Linked DNA regions of Astyanax mexicanus. The protein of the gene in region 2 binds, or shares a complex with, the protein of the main gene of each other region. Links are inferred from orthologs where the notes say so. Each region holds a gene or a part of one and is shown on either strand. Other genes may lie near its edges. The genes, in order: pth1b and pth1r.

Region 1 (10,214 bases), on a different chromosome or scaffold from region 2:
GTCCTCACAGTAAAGTAAGCTCCTTTAATCAGTAAAACTTGTGTTTACTTTTTGTTTACTTTGTGTTGACTTTAACCTACTGTTTTTAAACATATTAGGATACATGTGGACGAGCCTGAACAAATACCTCATATTTGGGAAGCTTTTATTCTGCATGAATTTTAATTATACATTATATGTTACAGGTTTTAGACCCAAAATCTTCGCAAAACTATGATAAATCAGTGTCTCAGATATCAGGCAGTGTATTCATAACTATTTGGTGTAATAGCACTTTCTGTGAGGGAGCTTGTAGAGGTTCTGAAGTCTAGAATTATGCGCTTAAAACTTCCTTTGTATTATATTTTTTGTCACTAAACAATGATTTTTTCTAACTAATACATTACATTTTGGCTGTAACAACAATGATTATAGATTCTAAAGTCTAGGCATGATTACAAGCCATCAAACCAAGCTGAACTGCTTGCATTTTTGCACCTGGAGTAAAGGCATAAAGTTATCCAGAAGCAGTGTGTAAGACTGGTGGAGGAGAACATGCCAAGATGCATTAAAACTCTTATTAAAAAACAGGGCTATTCCACCAAATATTGATTTCTGAACTTTTATAACTCTATGAATATGAACTTGTTTTCTTTGCATTATTTGATGTCTGAAAGCTCTGCATCTTTTTTGTTATGTCAGCCATTTTTCATTTTCTGCAAATAAATGCTCTAAATGACAATATTTTTATTTGGAATTTGGGAGAAATGTTGTTGGTAGTTTATAGAATAAAACAAACATTATACCTATAAATAGTAAAATCAGAGAAACTGATTTATAAGCTGGTCTCCTTTTTTCCAGAGCTGTATATATATATATATATATATATATATATATATATATATATATATATATATATATATATATGTATATATATGTATATATATATATATATATATATATATATATATATATATATATATATATATCTTGATTATAATAATCAGCACCAAAATGTTTTTTTTATTTACGCTTCTACATCAAATGCAAAAAATTCCAAAAAAAGCCTTTAGCCAAAATACTATTCTGGGCCAGTTTACTGTATGAAATATATTTTCCAGAAATATTTCAGTTTTAACAGACTCCAAACAGATTTATTTAGTTGAATATCTTTTTAGTTTAATATAAAGCAATTACTTCCTTAATCTAGTTGTTATGTGTGGGTGGGGCTGACACTTTCCAATTTAAAAGAATTAAGCATCTCGCTTATATGGAGGAGAAGCCAACATCATAATCTTTGTCTTTAGTAAGAAATACAATGTCAGGTTTTATTCCAAATAAGGCCAGAAGTGGATGTAGATATAGTCACTATCAGACCTAAAGATGCTCTTCCACAACTCTGCCAGATTAGAACATGACTACAACATATGTGCGCAGGTGGCTGATGTTTTCTTTTTTTCTGTTACATGCTACATTTAAGTTTTTTAATTTTGGGAATGTTTTAAGCTTTTAACGTTTCTATAATGTTAAGTTCTATTTGGGAATGTTATGTGTGAAACTATCTAACGTGATGCAAACCATTAACCATCATGTCCCATGTTTTCAGAATGTTCCTGGAACATTATTTCTGTTACAGGCTGTTAGCTGGGTTTCCCTACAGTAAAATATGTATAGCATTTTCCCAATTATAATTTTTTTCCTCTTCCCCTCATATAAATCTCAGATTTTCTCCTCCAAGCTTAACCTTAACTCAACCTACCTTTGTGTTGAAAGATGCCAAAAAAGATACCCATATTTTATACCCATATTTTAAAAGATAACCATATTTTCTATGTTCCAGTATTTCAGATTGTAAGGGTGAACACTGTATGAAAAACTAACAAATTGGGAAAATAAAAAAAAACAAACTATAAAAGCTATGATTTAATGACATTTTATACTTAATTTTCTATTTTTGCCTTTAGTTTCTGACAGTTGGAAAACTGAACTGGCAAACTTTGACACACTGACCAGAAGCCTGGCTCTTTTTTATTTTTTGTCAGAATTAGGCTGAAAAAATAAAAATTAAAAATAAATGTAAATACATTTTGTAGAAAGTGAAATGTACAACAACCAACAGCCAGAAATGTCTGGCACTTTATATTTTATGTAAACATAATCTTTCTTTATTTTACTGTTATTTTATATATATTTTTTAAAAACAGCACCGTGTTGTTCATGTTGTGGACCTTGTTTCTCAGTATTGTGGTATTTCACATTCGTCACAGTGGGGTCCTTGCCATACAGTATCTCATGTAAATAACCAGAGCATATTGTTTGGTTATTTTGTTTTCATTCTTTCTTTAATTGTTGAATATAAAAAATAAATAAATAAATAAATAAATAAGAATTTTAACAACCTTACTTTTCACCTGAATTAGGCTATATAACAGTGCTGCAACACAAACTGAGACTGTTATGTAAACTTCTATTCACCCACACAAACACAAGCCGTAGCCGTAGCTGTAGCCGTGTCCTTCACATGTCCTAACTGGTTTTAACTTTTAACCAGTTCATTTTAACAAATAATTCTACACAGATTCATTTATATATCAAACAGTCAGAAAGTCAAATAAATTAAAATAATAAATTAAAGTATGAAAATAAATAAAAACAATTGTGATTCAGTGCACTTCTGCAAAGGAGCCGTAGTTTTATGCCTGCACAGAAACAGGGCAGGGGCTATATCTCTGTGAGGACACTAAACATTTAGAGTGAAAACACTTTCTTTTCTTTAAAAGTTCATTTTGTCTCATACAAAAGACCGAACTCGAAGACGAGGCCTCAGGGTTCGCTCACGATCCAGACTGGATTTTCCCAGACAGTGAAATATCTGTAACAATAGTCCTGATTTTTGCCTTTTGTCCTTTCTGTGAGTCGTTGACGGAGGGGATAAGGATCGACTTCAGCTTCACCTGAAGCCAGTCCTGTCTCTCCAGCACCTGTTTGCGTTCTCCAACATTGTGCATGAGCTGGACTTCACTGATGGACCTTTTGCTGTGGACAGATTAGCAGTGGTCACTTTTACTGTCACCAGTAACAAGCAATATATATATATATATATATATATATATGGTATATACACTCTGTTAACAATCACTATAATGCTTTATATGGCATTCTTTGTTCATAAATTACAGCATATTACTGTATTTTGCAGTTTTACTCTTGCAGCATGAAAACTAAACAATATTGTATACAGTTACTACTGCAGTTACTACATTTTTGTATGTAGCTTAGGTTATTTAATATATTTTTAATAGTTTCAAAGTATTGTAGACAGTTTTTTTTACTGTCATTTAACATAATTTTAAGAAAAATATTACTTTAGTTACAAGTAAAAGATTGTACTGCAGTCTTAAACTATAAACATACTAATGATTTTATTGTAGATATATTAGATTATGATCTTGTTTTTTTAGAGTTATTACTCATATTTTTTAGGTCTTATAAAATACAGTAAAATAATTACAATGCTGTACTGTTAATTTCAATCAATTTCTGACCAATTTAATACATTTCTATTGTACAATAACATTATTTTTAGTACAATGTAAATATACAAGATTATACTAGTAACGTTGCAAAATTACAAAGATTCTTATATTTTTAGTAATTTAAGTGTATTACATTTACTGTTAAACTAAATGTAATTGTATTGTGAATCATATTCGGCCCTCACCTGATTGGTGATCCCTCCAAATGAAGCAAACATAAGCTCCACAGTAAAACCAGTAAAACCATTTTGTGCATGGCGCTCATAGAAGATATTTTATCAGCTGTAAAACAAAGAATATAAAGATTATTAAACAATAGTGGCAGAACATTTTGAAATGTCCAAATTTCAATTTCCAGAAAACATTTGTAAATTGAAATAAAAAAAATGTTTAAAAAAACTTACACAGCTGTGGTTTATAGTTTGTAGGTGTAATTTACAGGGCCACTCCATGTGTTGGTCAGCGGTGTGTTCGTGCTGGTGGTCACTGTCCCTGTCTTTTTATGCCTGAGTGCCCTCCCCTCTGCCATTGATGAGCGATCCCGATATTTGATGGTGATGTCACCCTGTGCTTTGATGAGGACAGGCATGTAGATGGCGACACCTCCACTGACCCCACCACCACCCACCACTTCTGTTTTCAACACCTCTGCCCTGATTTCTTGTGATCAGAGCGTTGGTGAGCTTATGTCATGTACGGACGGCTGTGCGAAGTCTCATTTACTGGAAGCCTGAAGAGCGTCTCTGAGAAACCACCAGCGGGATGATCTGAATTATTACCTGTGAGAAATTAAAGTTGAAACTCAAGTGAAGCTTTTTTTTCTTTTATTGCAACTTTTTAGGAGCTTTAGGATAAGAAAAGTACATTTCAAATGACAGAAAGTGGCCAAAAACTGAAACACAAAAAATCTGTAGTTTATTTCATTTATTTTGTGATTTCCAGCTAAATTTGATACATTTGTTTTTTTTTATTCCATGGCAGTATAAAATCAATAAAAATAATAATAATACTCAGTAAGGGAAGCCCAATTCCATTTGATCCTCTTGTATTCTTCAATTCTACATAATGTAGACATTATTTATTTAGAAAACATTTATTTAGAAAATATATTACTATAATTACTAGAAGCTTTACTATTTATCTAAAAAATGCATAAATTCACAATATAATATATATATATATAGATAACCACACTTTAAGAACTGTTTTCTGTTTGTTTACTGTAACTTTAACTAATTTACTCCAGCCAATAATCATGTAGCAATCATTTATTTCATTTTAGGAATTTCTTTCCAATTATTTTTGTGAGAAAACAGAAATTCATCAGAAATTAAAAAAAAAAAAAATAAAATATTTTTTTAAGGCTAAAATGTGCTTAATTTAGGTGTACATTTCCTAATTCATTAAGGCACATATAATAAAAATCAATAAATAATTTACAATATAAAAGAAAATAACAGATTTCCTCCAAAAGGCAGAAATGTTTAGTATATGGCTATTCGTTATTTGTAAAGGCTCAGTTATCCAGGTCAAATGGAGAAAATCGTCTCCTGCTCTTTGCACAATGCCTCGGCTGGCCAAAACAAGGCCTTACCTGGTGCTTTGCATGATCTATGGTGAGCTATGAGAAGTGGACAACCTTGTCATACTCACAAGGGACACATTGAGTAACCATGAGAGAAGTTTTCTAAATGTGGCTGAGGAATGACTATGTCATGACACAAGTAGTAAGTCCCAGAAAGAATTCGAAACGATGTGCAGCGCAACAAATCTCTCCTGTAGTAATGAAAGTCTCTGAGCTCGGGTCGGGAGGCCGGGCCGCGGGGCCGCCGGGCTCCCGTTTCACAATACTGCATGTTCCCTTTCTGCCCATTAATTTTTCGAACAGGGATCTCCTAAATCAGCGAAGGAGAGTTTATATATTGAGGTCGAGCGGACTCCGCCCACACGGACGGCACGGCATAGCGCATAGGCAGGAATCGTTCAGACAATGCTCAGGATCTCTTTCTCAAAGGCCAAAGGTTGATTTGTGTGATGCGTGTCATGCAGAAGCATTGTGGTAGGTGTCTGTGGATGCCTTCGCCTGCTGTAATAATAGCAGCTTAGCTCATGTGTGGTCAGCATGACGTTGTGGTGCTTGAATGTTTTTTATTTTTATTATTTGTTTAGTTCATTTTGAGTCATAAGTCTAAAAATGAGAGTACAATAGCTGAGTAAAGACACAAGCTCTGGGCCTTTAACTGATACTGGATATCACACTTAGAATCAGATGTGTGTATTATGTTATATAATATGTTATATTATGTTTATATAATATACCGTGCAATGGTTTGGGTCATAGTTTTCTGTTATGCTTTTAACAAGCAGTACGAACCACATACAGCTATCCCGTTTTGAAGGTTGTACACTGTGGATTGATTTGAAGATGCATTTAATTGCCAAAAATAAAATATAAAAAAATAAATGTACTAAGTAGAAGTATAGTAGGATATTATTTGATGATCTTGGAATATCCAGTGATAAATATTGTCTAGGGTTTTTTGCAATATCTGCATATACGGCCCTATGTTTCACCACGCCAACAGTCTATTTTCATGCCTTGTGTCTGAACTGTGACGTGCAGCCCCAGTCTGTCCCAGCTGGCCCGCATTGGACCAGCATAAATAACCTTTCTGAGGCAACACAAACCTAAGTGACACTAAAGTTCAGCTACTAGAGCTGCACTGGGCCATGACTATGTTCCTTTAAGTTTGTTTTGGGTGTTGATGGAGGGCATTTTTCCTAATTAAGGTACGTTTTGAGTTCATTCACTTCCTGTGTCTGTGTCTCCCTGTGCTTCAGTCTGTGCCACAGTCACAATATATGTAAATGCAATTTGTAAGTGCAAACACAATAGACTTTTATTGAACGATAAGTCGATAGTGTAAATATTGTGACAGGCCTACTTGTGTCTGCATAATTTAAATAGCAGCGGTGCTTCTGAATATATCTACGCTGTTGGGTGAAGCAGTTTCAAAATGAGGTGTGTTCAGGTCATAGCATAGTTCTAGCATATTGCTGCTATAAGGTGCTCCACTGACTGAAATTAACCTAGACAGATGTCAACAGTCAGAGGTTTATTGCTATCTTGTCAACGCTTGTTACACACACACATGGACATGCAGTAGTGCACAAACCCGACATTTACATCAACAATAAACAGAAAACTAAATATAAAAACATTGCTGTTCCAGTAAGTGACCTGCTTGCACACCTTAACAGCGTGAACTACCAGGTCAGTATTCTCTGCTGAGAAGCACAGAAACGCTGCGCCGTTGAAATAGAAATCTGCCAAAGTCAGAGCATACCTGACTCTTAAAGAAGAACTCCTGTGTAAAATTTACTTTTAATGTAGTAAAATATGATAAAGAGTACTAACCTTTGTAGAATAGCCCACCTCTGCTCTCCTGCAGCTTTCTGAGATCCAGTAATTTTTTACAGTTTGTCCAAACATGCTTTAGAATGAGTTAGATGGGGCATGTTTTGCCCCTGCAGATAAATCACTTTTTACGCCGTTATCCAGCTCAAAGTAGCTCCACACCTTGTTAGTAGATCTGGAGAGCCCTGACATTTAAAACAAGGCATTAATAACTTTAAAACTGCACAAGAAGCTTATTAAAAAAAGACTGTTTACCTTTACTTTAAGATGGCGGCACCTGAAGATTAGTTTACACTACGGAGTTTCAGAATTCTCCTATAAAGGGAACGGCTGATTGGTTTATTTCACATTATACCCAAAACACACCCATGATAAAATAGGATAGCAAAGACACGTGGACATGCAAAACGTGGTTATTTTGCACCGCAATCTGATCCGAGTCTCATAATGCTGAGTTTTAGCAAATTAAAATAGCCAATATTCTATTAAAATCCTAAATCACCAAGTAACCATGATGTACACAAGAAATACACAAGTAACAGCCAACGAACCACATGAGATACCAATCCAACCACTTTACAACAACCACCATAGCTGCTTTTTTTACAATTACTTTCAATGGTGGAACTCTATTAAGCTACATATCCTTTATGAAATGCACTTTTGTAGTTTATATGTGTTTTTTAATGCCTTTTTTATTGTACATGTATTTTATATTTATTTTGAGTCATTTTATTAAAGAGCTTACTCTGCTTAAAACAAGTTTTTTATTTATTTAATAAATGTCTGGAAATGTGTTGAATAATCTTAAATATTTACAATTTCGTAATGTATTGTAAGAATGTTTTAAGATTATTTCATTGCCAAGGCAGGACATTTCACAGGATAATAAATCTTACTTTAGCTTTCTTTTAAAATGAGGAATGAAGCATTTACCCTTTGCCCTGCTACTGAACTCTGGAGCTTTAATATGGAATTCAGATTTCACATGTAAACAGCTCCGTCCTCGTGCCCAAAGCTGTCCTTGCAACAGAGAACTGCACTGTGCATCGCGGCCTGCGGCACACGTGGAGTCGACCCGGCCAGAGCTGTTCTCATTACCTCATGAGGGTACAATGCCTGTCATCCCACTAATGGCATGTCGCTGCAGCAGTGTGCACAGGCACTTGGCAGGGATTAAGGTGAAGAATTGCTTACAAACCATTAACTGGGGGTCAACCCACCGTGCTGCAATGCTAGCTACGCTGCATTAAAACCACACAGGTCTCCCTCTAATTATATAACGATGAAGCAGAAATATAGAAAATTAGTCTATTTATAACTTCTTCTTTTGAATAAGCAAGTGTGTGCTTTTAATATCAGCAAAAGAACTATTTTTATGTGCAGGAATTTAAAGAATGCACATGTGAGAATCAGCCTCCCACACACTTCAGCAGTTCTCTGCGATGCATTAATATTGCATGAGTGGAGATTAAACAGATTGTACTGCAGCTCCCTAAAGGCCTGAAAGTATAAATCTGAGTCAGTGCTGCATGTAAACCTACAGTCAGGGCAACAGTATTTTTCAGCTGTTTACGGACACGCCTTTTAATGTATGAATTCAGCTGTTTTAAGTTGTACCTATTGTTGACAGACTTGTCCAAATGCACACACACACAACTTATATATCCCCTGTAGAGAAGAACTGTTCACTGAATAGCATTGGGGTCAGGGATGAGGTGGGGAGTGGTGGATAAGTTAGGGATTAATAAGGAAGCTAGGGATCAGTTGTGGATGAATTAGGAAGCTAGGAATAAGTTGTGAATGAGTTGAGGAGCTAGGTATAAGTGAGGAAATTGTGGATGTGTTGAGGAGCTGGGGATGAGTTGTGGATGAGTTGGGGAGCTGGGTATGAGTTAGGAAATTGGGGATGAGTTGGGGAGCTAGGGATACGTTGCAAAGTTGGAGATGAGTTAGAAATTTAGGGATGAGTGTTAGATGAGTTAGGGAGGTGGGGATGAGTTGTGGATGAGTTGGGGAGTTGGGTATCGGTTAGGGAGGTGGGGATGTGTTGGGGAGTTAGGGAAGAGTAGAACAGTTGTGGATTAGTTGCAGAGTTAGGAATGAGTTGAGGAGCTAGGGATGAGTTAGGGAATTAGGGAGCTGAGTATGAGTGAGGGAGGTGGGGATGAGTTGTGGATGAGTTTGGAAGCTGGGGGTGAGTTAGGTAGTTTGGGAAATATAAGGGAGCTGGGATAGGGAGGTGGAGATGTGTTGTGGATGAGTTGGTGAGCTGCATATGAGTTGTGAAAGAATAAGGGAACTGAATATGAGTTGGGCATTAGTTAAGAATTTGGGGATGAGTTTTCGATTAGTTAAGCATTTAGGAGTGATTTGGGGATGATTTTAAGTTGGTAAGTTAGGGATGAGTTACAGATGAGTTAGGAATAAGTTAGGGAGTTAAGAATGAGTTTGTTAATTAGGGATGAGTTGTACATGTAAAGCAACTCCAGATCCAAACCTGTACCATGTCTGGTACCTGTGTGAATGAGCTACTGAGGTCGGAGTTTCCCCTTCTGAAGTCTCCATTGCTCCACCAGCCACTCGCATTCAGTAAAACTGAGTCGGATCCTCTTTTGGAGGCTGTACATGTGACATAAGTATGTAAAGACAGAAGAAGAACTCTCGCTAAAAGTGACCCGACACCCCACTTTTTAGAATGAATATATTGGACTTAGCAGGGATGGTCGGTATGTTCAGTACACTTGTACCATTAAACACTATATTTTATCCATATTCTTCTCCATTCAGAAATGCTTCTGCTTTCAGCTTAGAAAATAAATAATACCGACTACCACTTTAAAATTAGCTGTTGTGATATTGTTAAACATGTGATATTGAAAACAGAATTCTTTTGCCTCAGTTCCTCAATGACAATTCTTCAATTCCAGCTCTGGGTGACTGTGCTGTGCTACACCAATAAGAGTTCAAACTGAATATATTTCCATCCTTTTTAAAAGGCCTAAATAATGTAAAATTCACTTTGCAGGAAATATACCTGTAGTGTATTTAGTAACTCCACTAGAGGGCAGCAGAGTGATACATTTTGATAATTGATTCGGTTCAGAAAATTCGATTCAGTTTAAATGAAGACATTTATCTTAATGTAGAAGCTCTGACATCTAAAGTTACGCTGTACTGTTATAATGAGAACACATTTTTACTAAATGATTAGAAAACAATAGAGTCTGTATGTGGGAGTGAGAAAGAAAATGTATTTGTTCCTTTTTTCTAAAGAAAAT
Region 2 (11,140 bases):
TCACTAGAGATGCCCCAACACCAGGAGGGTGAAGACTAGCAGACATTAAGTCAGACTCCGCCTCTTTTCAAAAATTACCAAGTAGCATTACAGCGTTAACGCTCGGAGGAAAGCGCAGCGACTCGGTTCTGATACATCAGCTCACAGACGCAGCCTTGTGCTGATCCACATCACCCTAGGAGTGACGAGGGGGAAGAGAGAGCGCCGTCTACTGTACTGTACCCACCCAGAGAGAGCAAGACCAATTGTGCTCTCTCAGGGCTCTGGCAGCTGATAGCAAGCTACATACATGACCGCTGCATATCGTAGGAAATAGTGCGGATAACTTTAAAAGCAACACAATGTGAACACTGTTTTCAACATTTCTACAAACAATGCTAGAATTTCATGAAATAATGCTTTTAGCTTGTTTCAAAGCATTACACAGATTGTATATATTTATATACTTGTTTAAGAAATAATGCAGATCATTTTGCTTTGTTTAAAATTCCCACAAAAATGTTAGATTTTAAAACAGATTATTTAATAAGTTTCACAAAATAGTGCAGATAAATGTACTAATTTTAGAAACTTAACGCTAATGCTCAGGGAAAAGCGCAGTGACTCGGTTCTGATACATCAGCTCACAGACGCAGCTTTGTGCTGATCCACATCACCCTAGGAGTGATGAGGGGTGCCATCTACCCACCCAGAGAGAGCAAAACCAATAACTGTGCACTCTTGGGGCTCTAGCAGCTGTTGACAAGCTGCATGACCGGGATTCGAACCGGCAATCTTTAGATCATAGTGGCAGAGCTTTAGACCGCTGGACCACTCTGAGTGCTTCAAGCATAACATTAGTGGAGCTGAAACAATAAATCTGATATCAACAAAAATAAAAATGTATGCTAAAATATCAGAAAAAAATTTGAATTCTATCGCACGCATAGTACAGATTAATTTTATACATACTAAACCTAGTTAAACACAGCAATTACAGCAAATGTACATCAAATGTATCCTTTATAAACACTGATATACATCCACAATATACATTCTAATGACATCACACACCGTATCAAAAATTAACACAATATGAACAAATATCAAAAATGTAAATACGGGTTTAATGTATTGATGCAGAAAAGTGGAAAAATAGCCAGTAGAAATTAAGCTAAACCTCAGGATACAATTCTGATCAGTAAACATGCCCTCAAATTCTCACAAATAGAGTTTTTTATTCATAGACTGCATAAAAAAAATCTCCCAGCACGTGAAATCAATTCAAATTTAGTTGATTTACACAATCTAATCTCTCTATTTCTCTACATTTCTATTTCTATTCAGAAAAATAGCTTTATTCGATTAGCAGACTCAATTCACAAATTTCACTAAATAATGACTGTAATTGTGCACGCTTCACAAAATGAGACTTTTATCAGTTCATTTCGTTTTTTGCATTAAAAAAATGGAAATTTTAGAAATTTTAGATGGAGCAAATACATTTTTGTATGTTTAAATATAATTACACTGAAAATCTTTGCATTTCACATAGTAATGGTGATAGTTTGTTTTTCCAAAAATTGTTCAAAACTGTATTTTTCTACAGGTAATGAAGCTCACTTTGTATGTTTAACATATAATGCAAATAAATGTATAAACATTTTAAGAGCCAATAAGGACAAATCTACTAGCTTTAAGAAATAATACAGATAATTCACAAATATATATTTTTATTATGATTCCTGCATTTTACAGGAATTTGCATGATAAATGTTGCGTATTTTAGGAAGTAATGTAGATGACTAAGTTACACAAAGTGAACACCATTGTCAATATTTCATTAAATAAGCTTGTAATGAAATTACACAGGTTACTAAACTTGTTTTAAAACATTACAAAAGTAGGTTAGAAATAATGCAGATCATTTGGTGTTGATTAAAAATCACACAAAACATGTTAAATGTTAACAGATTATTTGTTATAATATGTTTCATAAAATAGCGCAGATAAATTTACTAATTTTAGGAACTAGAACAAAAAGAATTACAGATTTAAGAAATTAGATTGAAGTTTTTGTTTGTTTCAAGAAATTAAACAACATTTTCTTAAGAAATAAAATAAAAAAATCTTAATTTTTTATTTCTCATTTTGCATTATTATTTAAAACATTTTATATGGTTCAAGAAATAGTGCAGATATATTTACTCTTTTTAGGATTTAGCACATACAAATGTACAGATTTAAGGAATTATATGGTTTATTAGTTTATTTTTTGTGTTAAGAAATGACACCAACAGTTTTCAAGAAATGCTATAATTTTCATATTTTAAGAAATATTGCAGAAATATTTCTAGAATGCCAACAGAAATAGATAATTTCTGAAAAATTCTCTGTATTGTTTCTGTATTGATTCTTGAAATAAGTGTTTTTAATTTTAAATCAATATGACCATTTTTCAAAACAATGTTCTTGACAGATGTTCCAGGAAACAACTATCAAGAACATTGTTTTGAGAAATAATCATGCTTAATTATTTGATTTTAAATGAAAAATACTTATTTTAAGAAACAATACAGATACTTTTACTGGATTAAAAAAAATACTCAGCTAAATTAGTTGAATGATCTGCCAGAAATATAAAAAAAGGTTTTCACCTCAATTTACTTATAAAACAAGCTAAAGTCTGATTAGATTCTGTTTTTACTTAAACTAAAGTTTATTATAAATTTTATAGCCACTAACTGAGGGTTAATCTGTTGTGTTTGTTTAGTATAGTGAATGTAGTGTAGAGTATAGTAGAGTATATAGTAGAGGAGCTGCATTAGTGTAGAATACAGGATACTTCAGCCACATCATTAGGACCACACACCATCTCCAGCTTCAGCTTCACGCACGAGGAGATAAAGCCACCAAAACACCAAAAAACGTACACCTGAGTACAGCGCGCGAGACCACTGGGTTCAGCTCTCTGGATCTTAAATGTACAGCAGAGACCCGGAGCATCCTGATCAGAGCACCCCCAAAGACCAGATGCATCCCCGCGCGCTTTTTACGCACGAGCGCCAACAAACTCGCGTGCACAACCTGATGCAAACGTGGAAATGCGTGGTGGAATCAGCGCATAGATAATAAAGATTTAAAGACACTTACCAGCGTGCACATGAAGCTGAGCAGCGAGCTGACGAGCAGGAAGCCCACGCCGTGGCCCACGAGCGCGGAACCCATCCGGACACTCAGGGCGCTCCACAACTTCACTTTTACGCGGAGAGAAGAGCACGAGGACAGGAGAAGTTGATCTCTCTGGTTGATCGAGGCTTGGATAAAGGTGGAGGTCTTCTTCAGCTCCTCCAAAGAAGCCCCTCACCATGCATTTCACTACTGCTCCTCCTCCTCCACGTGCGAGAAGAAACCAAGGAGATGAGATGAGAGCTTTGAGATAGATGGAGGATGGATAGATGGATGATGGCGCTTTGATTCAGCCACTCTTCTACAGTCTACTCTGCTCTCTCTCTTTCTCTTCAGTGTGAGAGTGCCTCTTTCTCTCTCTCACTCTCTTTCTCTCTCGCTCTCTCACCCACTACTCCCCCCTTCCTTGAAATTACATCCACATGTCAGAACTATTTACGTCCTTCAGCTTCTGCGGTAGGAAGTTCAAAATGATCTTCTTTGTGGAGCCAAAAAAACCCAGGCTTTTATTTTTAGGTCCTTTTAAATTACCCTCCCACCTCCCACCAGAGCACCCCCACACTCCCTCCCTTCCTACAGAGGAGAAAAAGAGAGAAAAAGAGAGAGAGCGAAACAGAAAGAGAGACGTGGAGAATATTAATATATATGTGAATGAATGAATGAATGAATGAAAGAGAGAGAAAGGGAAAAAGAGAGAGAGAAGAAATACAAATAAGAAGAATCACATCATCACGATCATCATCTACAAAGCCCCGTCCCTGCTCGTTTCGCTCCAAACCCCCAATTTCCCCAATGTCCCGCTTCCAACACACATCAAACAGAACCTCCGGATCCTAAAGTGCAGTACAGAAAAGTGAACCCACGCTCAAACTGGACCAACAGAACCACTGTCCAACTTCTTCCACGCACCGTTCAGTCCACGCAAAGCCAGCAGCACGAGCCGTGTCCAAAAACGAGCGTCCAGAACTTGCTCCATCCACTGATCCACTTGATCCACTTTACCGGTCAACCGCTCAATCGCTCAATTAGTCAATCGCTCAAGTCCAGAGCTGCGGCGCCGCTCGCGCTCCTTCAAAAACCCCAAACCAGGTGAAACCACGTTGCACGAAGACGCCGTACGTACGGAGGAGTTCCCTCACAAGCTTTTTCAGGTTGCTAGAAGAACGTCCCACGTCCCAGGACTTCATCCAAGCTTTCGTACAAGACACAGTTCCACGCTGAACCCAAGGCAAACCCAAGAAAAACAAGCCAAGCGCTCCTTTCCACAGTCTGTCATTTCTTTCGCTGGAAGTTTTTTTTTTCCGCAGCGTTTCAAAAAAGAAAAGTGTCCCAAAAAAAAGTGCTCCACTCCTCCTCCTCCTCCAGCAACTCCACCACCGCACGCACGCTGCTCCAGGCGGCTGTAGCACCACCTCCAGGGGAAGGCTGGGCATCTGCAGGGGGAAGGATCCGGAGGCGTCAGGGATTCCTCCGCTCAGCCTTGCCTCTCTCCATTTCCCACCCGCTTTCCGCCAGGCCACGCCCCCATCCCCTCAGCGATTGGCTACTAGACCACCCTCGTCAGCGCAAGAGGTGGGACCCCTCCAGCCAATCACAGTACAGCAGCCTGGACACTACTAACCAATCAAAGTGCTAGAGTCGAAAAGCTGGGCGTGGCCTGCCCGAGCAGCCAAAAGACTGTTCAATTCACATCTTCAGAAACATGCAGTGCAGATTAAAACCAAACAAACTAATATTAACAAAGCTTCAAAACTTATAATTATAATATTATGACCACCTATCACCTTGTTTCTAACTCAACTGATCATATATACCACACACTGTAGTTCTATAACTATAATTACAGATTTAATCACATAAATACAGAACCAGTCAAAAGTCTGGACACATCTTCTTATTTAGTGTTTTTCTTTATTTCTTTATTTAATGTATTTTCTACAATGTATATTAATATTAAAGACATGAAAACAATTAAGGCACACATATGGAATTACACAATAAACAATAAAAAAAAAAAAAAAGCTTTCCAAAAAGTGTAATAATTCACAGTTAATTTATAAGGGGGTTAAACACTTTTTTCACAATGGGCTCAATTGGTTTGGATAGTTTGTTTCCTTTAATAAATAAAATTATAATTTTAAAAAGGGCTTTTTATATTTACTCAGGTTATTAACGTTAGATATAAAAGTTTGTTTGATAGTATAAAAAAATGAAGTATAACAAAAATGCAAAAATATAAGAAATCTGTAAGGGTCCAAATACTTTTTCACTCCACTGTATATATACAGAAAGAAATTATAAGATATGACTGTATGGATATATTTCATTTAGCAATTTAAAATGAATTTATGAATTTTCTAAGCTTTGGGAAAGATGGGAAATGAGAGATATTTTTTTCAATGTTTTTATTTACTTATTTGATTTATTTTAAATGTGAATCAACAGGAGAGGTTTTAAACATACAATATTATTAACTAAAACTGCATTGTTGCTATTAGGTAAAATACTATCTGATAATTTTTTTATGAATGTACATTCTAGATAATTAAATTAGATAATTTTTCAAAAAACTTAAAGTAAATTTCTTTAGCTTTGGGAAAAATAATTGACATTTTGAACAGTTTCTGCCTGAAAACAGGTGGGAAAAGTAAAAAAATCCATCCATTCCACCCAATACCAGCACAACACTCCAGCACAATCTGCCCATTCAGAGCCGACCGGCTTTATGTTGGCAAAACGCTCCATTCTCAGCAGCGCGCAGCGACACCATGCCACGCAACCAATAAAATTATGTAAATACAATGCTGGGGCACATTTACGCTGGCGTTTTTCACGTGCGCTCATGAAATAACTCATTCAGCGCCGCCGTGTTTACCTACACATCTTCACTTGCGGTGCAAATCTCTGAGGTCCACTTCTAATGGCCAGTTTCACCAGTTTAACACACTTTTTCTCCACGCGCCATATTTGTTTTTCCTGGTTCTCCGAATCGCGGCAGCTCTTCATTCATACCCGAGCTGAAAAAAATAATGAGCGCTCATGCAAATGTGTAATAATTTGTGCAATAATTTCATTTACACTTGCATGTTCTGCCAGTTTCAACAGTGGGTCGCTGGAAGTCGGGTGCAGATTTTTGGGTCTGTTGGTTCAGTTTTATGTGTTGACCGGATCTGATGCCGTCAAATCTGTTTTCCGACGTCAATCGCAGCCGGTTTCATCATGATACAACCGACCAAACATGCTGGAAAACGACCAGCGGCCAAAACTCTCCTGCAGGGACTCGTTACGCCGGGCTGGGTCTGTTTGCTTTTTGAGAGCGATGACAGAACGCTAGTTATGGGTTACAAGAAACAATTTGCAATTCTGCTGAGAGAAACCATTTTCTGAGGATGTTGATTATGTTGGAAAAAAATGTATTCAGTTTGAGTTTTAGCATTTTGGACATTTAACAGTGTCTAAACGCTCCATAAGCTTTGGAAAGGGTGTGTCTTACACCTGGAACTTTTAGCACACTGAAGCTGGTCCTGGTGAACTCTTTAGCCAGGACTGAGTGGTTCTAAGCATGCACGGTTAGCACGGGTGCATTTGGGGCCAAAAAACGTTCAGTGGAAGGACTTAAAGATTGACTATTGGCCATAGCGAATTTGGTTGAGTCCATAGACTGTGTATAGCTGGACAGAGCATCGTCTCTCAAAAGTGAAGCCACCACAGGTCGGGCGCCCCCTGCTGTTCGGTTGCAGAAAGCTGCGTAACCCCACCCATCCCCATAGGTTTCAATGGCAAAACAGAACAACTTTCAATCACGTTTTTTTCCCCAATATACTGTAATTCTACCTCCATTATTTAAATGCAGCAGCTAGTGTAACCTCTGCTTATATTGTTACATTTTTATATCTACACAGAATTCGTATTTTAAAACGTTTTTCAGCTCTGTTCAAAAAGGTGTGGTTATTGGTGTGTAAAAGGGCTGGTTTACACCTAGCAGGGGTGGGACCAATGACTGTATGGGCGGGACCATAGACTGTGTGAGCTCTGTGGAGGCAGCCCTCAGGGGCGGGGTTATTTAAATGAGTAGGCTGTCTCTCCACAGTCTTTCTCCCTCCTCTGGTCTCTACTGCGCTCTACAGACTCGGGTTTCAGGATCGCCAACATGGCGGAAGATTTTGGCTTCATTTTCATTGAATGAATGGAAATGGGGCCACACGGCATCCATCTTTTTTACAGTCTCTGGTTGAGTCCAATTACCAGCATGCCAACTCTGCGTTTTCATTTTTGGATGAGCTTGTTAGCCACCAATCTACTTCTTGGGGAAAGTGGTGGGAAATCTCAAGGTTCACAGTTGACTCTAAACTTCTCCTATTATGCAGGAGAGTTTAGGAAGCTGAATCCAGCACATCCTCAGGCCTCCATGCCTGGGTTTGGAGAGCTTCAGGCGGACGCTGAGCCTGTAATGCTGCTGTTCCAGCAGCTGCAGGATCTTACTGAGAGCTGGAGGTGGTGTTAAACACTGAGAGGATGCATAAACACACAAACATCCTATACCAACAAGACTGTGCACATTATAATAGTGCACAACACTGAGGAGAGCATGCTATTGTAGTCAAAAACAATGAACTTGAGGATTCAGTTTACTATCTTGTCCTTTACAAACTGAGAAATGATAATTTCCTAATATATTCAGCTCCTAATCGTGTGATTAATCTCTGTTCTAACAGTCAATTATCAGCTTTGGTTAATTAGCTAATACCACATGTAGAGTGGTGCACAGCTCAAGTGATTACCACTGATCTCTATGGTTTATCAGGTGGTTCCATTTTCATTTTAGTTTCACTGATAGCTGTTGTTTTGTACTATAATGAACAGTGTTTACATGCAACATTTTAGATAGATAGGTCGATAGATAGATAGATAGATAGATAGATAGATAGATAGATAGATAGATAGATAGATAGATAGATAGATAGATAGATAGATAGATAGATAGATCTGTTCGAGCAGCTCATTTTCCTCTGTTAAGAAGAGTTTGTTGGACACGTCCAGGTAGCTGCACCGTTAAAATAGCAATCTGCCAAAGTCAGAGCTCACCTGACTCTTAAAGAGAATGATGAGCAAGAGACACACTGATTAGTTAGTTTCACGTCATGATCAAAATTAAGAGAATTAGTACATGCCTTTTGAACGTTTCGAGTCATGCCCAAAAAGTGTACTTTTCTCAACGTTATGATAGCAAAGAAACACTGACTCCCAAACCCAAGTCAAGCTGCATGGTGCATAATTAACACCTCACCTATAGATCATTAATATAGGGCCCTGTAGTCAACCAAAATGTAAAATGGGCCAGATAAGATTATAGGTTTATAGTTCTTTACATTTTTACAGCCAATCACAATAAGTACTTTTACATTGTAGCAGTAGTTTTGATTGGTCTGAGGACAACATAGCAATTTTACTGGCCCATCTTACCTGCACATTTTGTTATAGATCAGAAGAGAACGTACTGATAAAACAATTATACTTTTTTACATTTTTGAGAGTAATATTTATTAAAGCAACTCTTAAGTCTTTACATTTCTTGCACTGTCAAAATAGCAATCCGCCAAAGTCAGAGCTTACCTGACTCTTAAAGGGGGTTTAATGAACAAGTGACACTCTGATTATGCTGTTTTTTTCACACATCCATAAATAATTAAGAGCATTAGTACATGCCTTTTGAGCATTTGGAGTCGTGTCCAAAAGGTGTACTTTTCTCGACGTTATGATAGCAAAGACACACTGAATCCCAAACCCAAATCAAGCTACATGTTGTGTAATTAACAGCTCGCCTATAGATCACTGAAATAGAGCCCTGTAATCAACCATAATATAAAATGGGCCAGATAAGATTACAGGTTTATAGTTCTTTATAGTTTTTTTCATCATTTTTAAAGCCAATCACAATAAGTACTTTCGCATTGTAGCAATAGTTTTGATTGATCTGAGGGTGGGGACAACACTGTATTGTAGATCAGAAGGGATCAGAACTGATGATACTCTAACTCTCAAAATTATAAAACTATTGTACATTTTTGGCTCATTATATCTGACTCCACCCTACAGTCAATTCAGCAGTTTTGAGGAATACCTGTTGCTGTCACTTAGCAATTAGCCTGGATAATTGAACAGGATGCTTTAAAGCTCTGGTGAAAAGTTTGTGGTGGCCACGCCCAGCGTAAAGCACGGGCTAGAGGGGTAAAAAAAACCCTCAGACATTGGGCTGATGGGGCTCCATCCAATACCTTGGGAATGAGTTGAAGTGACAAAACTAATCTCCCACCATCAGAACCTGACACAGCTTAAGCTCTAGTGGCTGAATGCAATTAAATCCTGACAGAAATGTTCGAGTGTGAAGATCTCCCAGATGAGTAGAGGCTGTTATGCAGCAAAGGGGTAAAAAACTCTCTATTAAAAAGCCCTTAATTTAGCATCCAGAGGAACTGAAACTTTGGAAGTAAGCCAAAGGAGGTCTAGCACCTCTACTGGAAGTTTGGAGGTAGAGTCACCTGGAATTCAGGCTTTCAGTTAACAGCTGTGCTGAACTCATCAAGAGTTAATTACTTGAATTTCTTGCCTCTTAATAAAGTGTTTGAGAGCATCAGCTCCCTGGTAAAAACTTAATAAAACTTAATTATATACTTAAAATATATCGAGAAGCAGATTTATGTACTTACTTAAAATATATGAAATGTATATTAAATTAAAAGTACATTAATATTAAGCTTTCATCAAATGTTTAAAAGTATACACACTTTTAGTTTAATGTAATTCAGTATACTTCTCAAATATTTATTTCCAAATATACTTTTGTACATTTTTAGCAAAGTGTGTTAAAAACAGCTGTTACAGTAGTTCACTTACAAGTACAATGTATCATGTAACTTCTTTAGAAAGCTAATTAAATTACTACTACTAATTAAAAAAAAAATAAGTAAATTTGTAACACACAAGAAATTGTAGTACAGTATATTAAAATATATTTTTATACTTTATATTTAGAAGTGTGCTTCTTACAAAAAACAGGAACATATTTGAAGCATATTTGTACTCTAATGTAAATAGATTACATATATTTAACATCAATTCTTAGTACATTTCTAATGTAACTGGTGTATAATAAATAGTGATACAGTTGTAAAACCCATTATTAAATATATTATAGTTTTACTGTAAGCATATTTAAAATATATGGGGTTACATACATGAAGTAGGTTAAATGTTTAAATGTTACTTTTAAAAGTATATTTAAAATAGCTCCATTTTAGTACAGTTAAGTTCACTTAACATTTTAAGTAAGACTTTCGTACTATTTTTATAAAATTAAAGTTTAATAAATAATAAAAAAAGTTGTTCCATTTTATCACTCTTTAAATATACTGATTAATAATAATGTGGCTACAAGAACACTTTAGTGCACTATAGCATAATAATAATGTTCTAATCCAGATTATGAGAAGCAAGTGCAAAGGATCCTCAAGTGCAGTCACCACAAAGACCATCAAAAACTTTAAGATGAAACTGGCACTCATCTGGACCGCCCCCGGGAAAGAGCAAGAGATCCTCTGTTGCACAGGATGTTATGTATATTTCGTCGCTGTCCAATAAAAACAATAAAAACATCTCATTTTTCGTCACATTTTGTCAATTTTTAGTTTACTACATAATTTAAACAGTGCCAGAAATTTCTTGATGAACGGATTAATAGAAATTACCTGATTTATTTTTTTTTACATTGACTTCCATTGAAAATTTAGAAGGTATTTCCTCTCTACTGTAAAGTTGATGTTTTTTTTTTGTGGAGATAGTTGTGTTTCACTAGACAGCGACAATATAATAATTTCTATAGACATTATTATAGAGAATGGAACCGAGATCCCCATGCAAATTTACATTTCTTGCCTCTGCTAGTGTTAATTAGGGCTGCAACGATTAGTCGATA

Evidence for each region.
Region 1: the proteins of pth1r (region 2) and pth1b are in contact, whole or in part, in a cryo-EM structure (PDB 9JR3), measured with the Homo sapiens proteins. The link is inferred for Astyanax mexicanus from reciprocal best matches to the Homo sapiens genes PTH1R and PTH. Residues at the interface, in NP_000307.1 of Homo sapiens: Val31, Met32, Thr33, Lys34, Glu35, Gln37, Ile38, Leu41, Glu111, Trp112, Asp113, His114, Ile115, Ile135, Tyr136, Asp137, Phe138, Arg146, Arg162, Thr163, Ala165, Tyr167, Val171, Leu174, Thr175, Glu177, Glu180, Arg181, Phe184, Leu187; in NP_000306.1 of Homo sapiens: Ser32, Val33, Ser34, Glu35, Ile36, Gln37, Leu38, Met39, His40, Asn41, Leu42, Gly43, Lys44, His45, Leu46, Asn47, Glu50, Arg51, Val52, Glu53, Trp54, Leu55, Arg56, Lys58, Leu59, Asp61, Val62, His63, Asn64, Phe65.

Annotation. Positions count from the first base shown.
Region 1 is NC_064423.1:35,370,594-35,380,807, forward strand, and holds pth1b (parathyroid hormone 1b), read right to left. Parts: upstream 3,838-10,214; 5' UTR 3,781-3,837; coding exon 3,701-3,780; intron 3,016-3,700; coding exon 2,814-3,015; 3' UTR 2,384-2,813; downstream 1-2,383. UniProt on the Homo sapiens protein: Parathyroid hormone elevates calcium level by dissolving the salts in bone and preventing their renal excretion. Acts by binding to its receptor, PTH1R, activating G protein-coupled receptor signaling.
Region 2 is NC_064415.1:3,569,135-3,580,274, reverse strand, and holds the start of pth1r (parathyroid hormone/parathyroid hormone-related peptide receptor), read right to left. Parts: upstream 4,612-11,140; 5' UTR 3,208-4,611; coding exon 3,133-3,207; intron 1-3,132.